Linked DNA regions of Coturnix japonica. The protein of the gene in region 2 purifies or fractionates together with the protein of the main gene of each other region. This does not show direct contact. Links are inferred from orthologs where the notes say so. Each region holds a gene or a part of one and is shown on either strand. Other genes may lie near its edges.

Region 1 (3,656 bases), on a different chromosome or scaffold from region 2:
AATAAACACCCTGTCTTCCCTGCACAACTACCCAAATACATAAACTGCAGCAAGAGTGGAAAGAGTTAATTCAAACCTATACCGAAACTAAAAATGAACTACTGTAAACCATTCTTCATACCTTCTTTTGTCAGTAGATATTTAGACAGAAAGTTCTGGTGAATGCTTTTAGGTACATTCAGATTTACTTTTGTTTTTAAACAGTAAGTTAAAAAAAGTACGATTAGCATATACAGTGGGATGCTGCTGTAATCATGAATTACATCATCAATTAAAAAGACATAATAAAGATTCCTTCTTAATTTGTAATGTTAACTACATCTATCTTATAAAAACCACTACTTTACCACAAAATGGTTGTCTCCTTGAGAAAGGAACACATTTCATCACATGCAAACTTCACTGCATGAAGTATTATAGAATTTGTCTTCTCTTTCTAACATAAGAAAAACATTTTCAGACTTTAAACAAAAATTCCTGCCAAAGATTCAACACAAACTCTAAGGAGAATCAGGATTCACTGCATTTGTATCAGCGGTATAACACAATAATTACACAGATTATAAAATCTGGCAGTCCACTCTAGAAGTAATTGAGCTTTCATCAAATATCTTAAAACAACAAGTGATGCCATTTATGTTACAGAAATATGCTTCCATATAACTGGACACGGTCTTACTCTCCAGAAATACTCAAATAAAGTACATTATGTTGCCTGTATGAGAAAGAGACAGACTTATTTTTTACAGGAATCACAAAGTCATTAGGCATGCAATAGAAATCAAGAAAAACAATACAATGTGATCTCATCTGACTGATACAGTCAACTAAAAGAGAATCTTATCTTCCATACACTTCCAACTAAAACAAGTATCCAAGTTAGGTCTGAGATAAATGATCATTCTAAAATGTGCTCGGCAAAGCACTACAAATACCAGAAAGTTCAAGTTTGAATGGACCTGCAGAGAGAACGTCTTCTGGCTCAGAACCCATATTAAAAATTTTGATTGTAACAGGATCTTGTGAAATTATCAACTGTTAAAAAGTTTCTGTGTTGATACTCTATAGATGAGACTTCACCTGGAACAAAGGCTGACAGCAGAGACCCAAAAGGCCTCATTTCTCACGATGATATACTAGCCAAGAGTACTTCCATATTATGATCTATACCTCAATCCACAAATCAAATGAGAAGATGCTGTAGTTAATAAAGAATGTATACATCCACAGAAAGATCAATACAGAGTTTACTTTTCTTACTTACAGAATCTCCTGTCTTGGCTGACACAAAATGACTACTGAAATTGTTTTCCTGACAGAATCGCTGATGCTTGTCAACTTTCACTGTGCGCATATGCTCCAAGTCAACTAGAAACAAGCGGGGAAAAAAAGATTACTGCATTAGAGTTGCTTTATGTAGTTATCTGTCTTAGAAAACTCGTTCATTAGGAATAAATCACATGTCATCTTATTCTTTGCAGAGGCGTGCAAGTGCCAGAAAAATACAGTAATCACAACAGTCATTGTACAAAAGAAGAAATCCATATCTGATCTAAAGAAAAAAAAACCTATGGACTCGCACAAGCAATTGGTAACAACTTTCCCAGTAACTACATGCAAGAAAAAAGAATCTGAAACAATTAAATTGCGTGTTTTGTTTGTTTTTTTACAGGTATAATGTCAGTATAATTAGTTATAATTATATATGTATTATATATATATATATATATTATATATAATGTTAGTCCAGCATAAACTAGAGACACATAGTTCACAAAGCACACCTGAAATGAGTCATAAATAACTTTATTGAAGAACACAGTAGAGCAAAAACATTCACTATAATAATAATAATTTTAAAAATAAAGAATAAAAATATTGATGGTTCATTACTTTATATGTGAAGTCTTCAATTCCACATTCCAGCACATTTTCATTTTTAGCATTTTATAATCATGGGAAGCAAAGTAAAGCTTTCGAACGCTATTTGATGTTAAAAAGCACTCGCCTACAACACAACATGGAGCTCAAGTCTTGCACAGGTTTTATTGTGCACATTCCAGTTTTTCCAAATCTGATCCTAAGGTAACTGGAAACTATATTGAAAAGTTTCTCTTTTTATTGCATTACAGTTCCTATAAGGGTGTTGACTCTCTGCCGTCAAATTATAAGGCAAATATATTCAGAAGGATTTAAGGACAACCAGGCTCTTTGAGTCAATACAGGAAAAAAAAACTTAAACTGATTTCCTGAGGAAGGGACCCAACTGACTTGTAAAAACTTGTAAATTTGCAAATCTAGTAAGCCTGCATAATAGTGTCATTTGATTATCAGCTGAAAAAAAATGCTCTCATACTTCATAAAAGGCTTTATTTTAAAATGATATTGGAGGTCTTTAATTTGTAGGCTCTGGAGATTTTCTCTTGGAGATTTTTAGTCTAGCAGGGGATTCCTACACCCCATTTATACTGCTTACTTTGGTTAATGTGGAGTTTTTGCCACATATTACTGTTCCTTGCACATCAGTAAGGCCTTGTTTATAAGAACAGGCCTAAAATCATCCAGTTACCACAGGCATTAATTTGTGAAGGACTAAAATACTAAGCTATTAACACTAACGTTTGTAGTACAGTACTTCATAACATTAAATGTAGAATATACAGCTTTACCAATAACAGGCAGAACAAAAACATTAATTAAGATGAATCCCAAAGTCAGTAAAAAGCCTCATACAGTCTATGTAACAGTTGTTTAACTTTTTTCCATTAAAAATAACTACCAGGAGAGAGCCTCTGCAAACTCACAAGTAACAATTTCTCTCAATCTCTCTTTCCCAAGAGGAAAAAAACAGAGGTCACAGGAACACAAGAGCATACAAAAGGTAAATGAATTTCAAAGAAGAAAATGTTCTGCCTTGTAAGAATTCATACCACAAAGCGCTTCTTATTTTCTATTTGAGTAAATATTAAGAATAAAATATGGTCAGCAGAGCATATGTTTTACTACAGTAGAGCAATTAAAAGCATGCGAGATCCCAGATCTTCAAACAGACTGGAAGTAAAAATTGGGATATAACCGTGTTTCTGAAATTTGTGCCATTCTCAGTTCTTCTTCCCATTTGGGAGTATTTCATCCCATGGCTTCTAAATTCTGGGCAGTTTGCTGTGAACTGTGCAGTTACTGTTACAGAAGATAACTGCCAGGTGCCTGTCCATATGCGCACACTCAGCTCAGGGTAAACACAAGGCAATTCATGTTACAAGCACTCAATGAAAGAGGGCACAGTTTCAGTACTAGAAAAAGATTTCAAGTGTTAATAAACATTTAATCACGAAAAGCTGCAGGGCACAATCATAGACAGTTACTGAAGATCTGTTAAAATGCAGTAAATAATTACCCCCTACTTTTTTTTTAATTGTTATTATTTTATTTCTTTGAACATCCAACGCTGGTCAGCAGAATAAGCAGAATTCATAGCTAACAGGACATAACTCTTGTCCAGCTTTTATTTAGAAATGTCAGAGAAAAGACTTTAGGAAGGATCTGGAGGAGAAAGCTTATTTTCTAAATAGGTGTTTATAAGAAATGCAGGAACTTCATAAGGAGGAAAAAAAATAAAACAAACAAAAAAAAAACCTCATAGCTGGCCAACATGG
Region 2 (3,756 bases):
GAAACCTCTTTTGTCTGCAAGTATCAAATATTTCTCCTTTCGGTTTTCATCTTCTTAAGTAACAAAGTCTATGGGAAGAGGGAGTAAAATACCCTGGTCTGAATTTGACGCTAGCCACAACATGCTTCTGTGCTAGTGTCATAAAGGAAGGGAAGCATATCTTGGTGCTAAGTCAGAGGGTGGATTTAGGCTGTAATTTAATGTGCACAGCAGCATGTCCCAATCAGCTTGAAAGCCTGTAGTTAGTCTCTTCTCAGAAACCACAAATGAACAGACTTTAGTTGAGGGTGCTCCAGTACTCAATGCAAACTCCATTTCCAAAGTGTGTGTTCTTGCATTCAAGTGAGAAAACTGATTCCTCAGTGATGCCCTCTACCAAATAAACCTACCTTGGATATACTTATTTCTTTTTATGCCATACCTAAAGTACTGCTGTGATGGCTTCTGGTGCTAACAGCAAGTTTGCAGGGTGTGCTCCTTCCTTCTTGGGAGGAGGAAGAAGTTCAAGTACTCCAAATATAAACCTGAGAGCTTCCCGGAGGATGTTTCTCTCTTCCTTTCTTATTGAGGGCACCAAGTTAACACATACTTCAGCACAGGGAGCAGAAGATAAAGCATCTCTTTCAAATGTACTGTTTTAGAATACACACTGTCAAAAAAAGGAAGCCTGAGCTGGTGGCTGCCTTACAGAGAATGAGGCCACATCTGGGCACGAACTGCTTCCTGTGTGGATGCTGTGGTGTCTCAGGGCTTTCTCTCATAAATGAGGAATGCCTGCTCTGTCACTTTCCTTCTAATACTTGCATATTATTCAACTATCTCAACTCAAGAAATCCCATCTATGCAATACATCGATAAATACTTTCCTGATTTTCCAATCTGAGCTATTGAGGTTTACCTTTAACACCAGGTCAAGAAACATTTTCTATTTAAGTTACCAAACAATGGAAGTGATTTTTCATCCATAGCTGGACACAGACCTTCATTCAGATTCTGCTTCTGGCAAAGCACGTGCACAAACCAGTAGAAACAAACACGTGAAAGTCTGTACCTTAAGTTTAACTCTCCAACCCTTCTCATCTCTACCAAAAGCTCAGTCTCATCTTGTCAGGAGCTTATGCTTTTCCTAATTACTCGCACAAAACACGCTTAAATTGTGTTTTGACAGCCAAAATCTTACAGCTCCACAAACAAAAAGAACTGTCAATATTACCAGTGCAGAAGCAAAGGAACCAGCTGCAGAACTAAAAGCTGGGGGGGAGGGGACAGTGATTCATAAGTTCAGCAAAGCATCTGCCAATAGTTTGATAGCAGCTGAATCCAACTGAGTAACTCAGATTCTGCTGCAGCTGGCACAGAGATTAGCAGCACCTCGCTGGCCAAAAATATGCTCAGGAATAACAGCATTGGAGCAAGAGGGGTATTCACTTTGGTTCTGTCCTTTCATTCGCTTTGGTTCTGTCCTTTCATTCGCTTTGGTTCTGTCCTTTCATTCGCTTTGGTTCTGTCCTTTCATTCACTTTGGTTCTGTCCTTTCCATTATGGGGGGAAAAAAAATACAGCCACTGGTTTTCTTGCCCCTTAAGGCCAAGCTGGCACCTGCCCACTATGCGCAGTAGAATCTGCTACGGTAAAATCAGCTGTACACATCTCCCACCCTTACACACACACAGACCTATGCGCTGAGCCGTCATTCCCCCCCCCCATCCCCAAGGTTGCAAGGCCGCACTCAGGACCCTCCGCTCCCACTTCTGCTTCACTGCACCGGCGTTAAACTGGTGCTCGCCCAGCACGCCAAGCGACAAGGCGCAAACTTTCATCGCGTACCGCAGACAGACGCGTTAACAACCGGACTCGGGCAGCGCTGACGCCTCAGGGCCCGGCACGACGCAGCAGTGCCCGCTCGGAGCCCCGCGCTGCCCCCGGCCCAGCGCCCAGAGGGACGGACCCGCAACGCGAGGCCGAGAGGGGGACGCGACACAACAGCCCCGTGTGTGGCAGAGCTGCCATGACAACCGCCCTCACACAGGGAAACCCCGGTACCCAGCCACCCCCCCCCTTTTCCCCCAGCCCCGCCCGCCCCCCCCTCGCTCCCCCTCGGTGAGGATACAGCTTGAAGCCCCTCAGGATCTCCTTGGCCCGCTCGTCCGTGGCCGACATGGTCCTGCCGCGCCGCGCCGCGGGCTGGGCGGGCTGAGCGGGCTGTCCTGGCTGCGCGGGGCCTGGCCGGGAGCGGCGCTGACAGCGGCGCCTCACGACCCCCCGCCCCGCCCCCTCGCACTCCCTCGCACCCGCCACCGGCCGAGGCAGCCAATCCCAGCGGCCGCTCTCCCCGCCCCGACGGGACAACCAATCGCGAGCCGCCGACGCCCCTGCTGGTTGATGAAGGACAGCGGGATGGACCAATCGGACGGCGCGTCCTCCCCCTCCGTTGATATAAGGGCGGCTGCGCAGCTTGTTAAGGCGCTGGGCCCGGCCGGGGCTGAGTGACGTCGGCGGGGACGGGAGGCGGCGCGGGACAAACCTCGCCCGGCCCCATTGGGGACGCGTGTCCGGTGCCGGCCGTTCGTTAATACGTTAACACGGCTTATAACAGTCTGCGTGCGGGACGACAACTGGGGGCTCCGCGTACACTGCCACAGAGCTCCTCAACAGCACTGCCACGCTGAGGAGAGAGAACCGCGAGGCGTCGAACATACGAGGGCACAGCCTATGAGTGCCATTAACGGCACAGCCTATGAGTGCCATTAACGGCACAGCCTATGAGTGCCATTAAGGCTGGCGGTGGGCAGCGCTGACCGCCCCGTTAGCTGACATGGAGCAGCCTTGTTGTGTTCTGGATAGCCCGGCGTTACCCAGTGCGTCCAGAGAAGGGCAGAGAACGCTCCCGAAGAAAAGCTGGCAGGGAGACAGGGAGAGCGCAGGCAGCAGCAGAGCTGGAGAAGGCCAGAGCGAGCGGTTGTGTGTGAGGGAGAAGCCTGCGGGGCAGAAGTACAGCATGCTGCTCTACCCACAGCACAGGGGGCTCCGAACCGCCCCGCTTAGGGCTACAGGGAGGTGGCAGCCAGACAGAAGCGGCTCTCGCAGCGAGCAACGGCAGCGAAGGGCTCCTGACACGAGAGTGTGCCCTGATGTCGGTGTTGGGGCCTTTGTGGTTCTGACATGGGTGCCCAAACTCTCCACGCTGTGTGAGGAGGTACGTGCTTGGCAGCCTCTGCGTCTCAGCTTCAAAAACCACCCATTTCCCCTCCTAAAACTAGGGAAGAAGCGTGTGGTGGGACAGTGTAACTCAGGAGGTTCAGGTTGGATATCATGAATAGGTTCTTCAATTAGAGGTTGGTTGGGTGCTGGAGTTCAAAAAGCACCCGCGCAGTGCTGTCAAACACATGATCTGAGTGGTTCTATGTGGAACCAGGAGTTGGGTTCAGTGGTTTTTATGGGTCTCTTCTAGTTTAGGATATTCTGTGATTCAGAGTGACAGAAACCTTGAGTTCTTTCCTCTCAAAATACTTTCTCTTGCAAGAAAATTGCAGCAAGTCTCACTATTCCCTTGAACCATTTTGTTCTAAAAACCTCACCTTTGCTTTTACACCTCTGGCAGGCATCACAGTCTCTGAGCTGTCACTGCAGGTGAGGAGACACCTCCAGCCTCCTTTCTGCCTCCCCAAAGCACATTGCAATGCTCTTCTCCAAAGGTACTGCTACAAGAGCTTGTGTCCCAGGGAGACGGGCTCATAAGCTGAGGTCTTCTCCCAT

What was found. Proteins that work in one complex are often made in the same cells at the same time.
Region 1: the proteins of PDE6D (region 2) and RAB28 purify together in Homo sapiens (affinity purification with mass spectrometry; 3 studies listed by BioGRID and IntAct, with this or other methods). This does not show direct contact. The link is inferred for Coturnix japonica from reciprocal best matches to the Homo sapiens genes PDE6D and RAB28.

Annotation. Positions count from the first base shown.
Region 1 is NC_029519.1:70,292,178-70,295,833, reverse strand, and holds part of RAB28 (ras-related protein Rab-28), read right to left. Parts: intron 1,369-3,656; coding exon 1,265-1,368; intron 1-1,264.
Region 2 is NC_029524.1:13,402,360-13,406,115, forward strand, and holds the start of PDE6D (retinal rod rhodopsin-sensitive cGMP 3',5'-cyclic phosphodiesterase subunit delta), read right to left. Parts: upstream 2,278-3,756; 5' UTR 2,161-2,277; coding exon 2,111-2,160; intron 549-2,110; exon of another isoform or gene 1-548. Other genes in the region: COPS7B (COP9 signalosome complex subunit 7b), read left to right, coding at 2,816-3,196. UniProt on the Homo sapiens protein: Promotes the release of prenylated target proteins from cellular membranes. Modulates the activity of prenylated or palmitoylated Ras family members by regulating their subcellular location.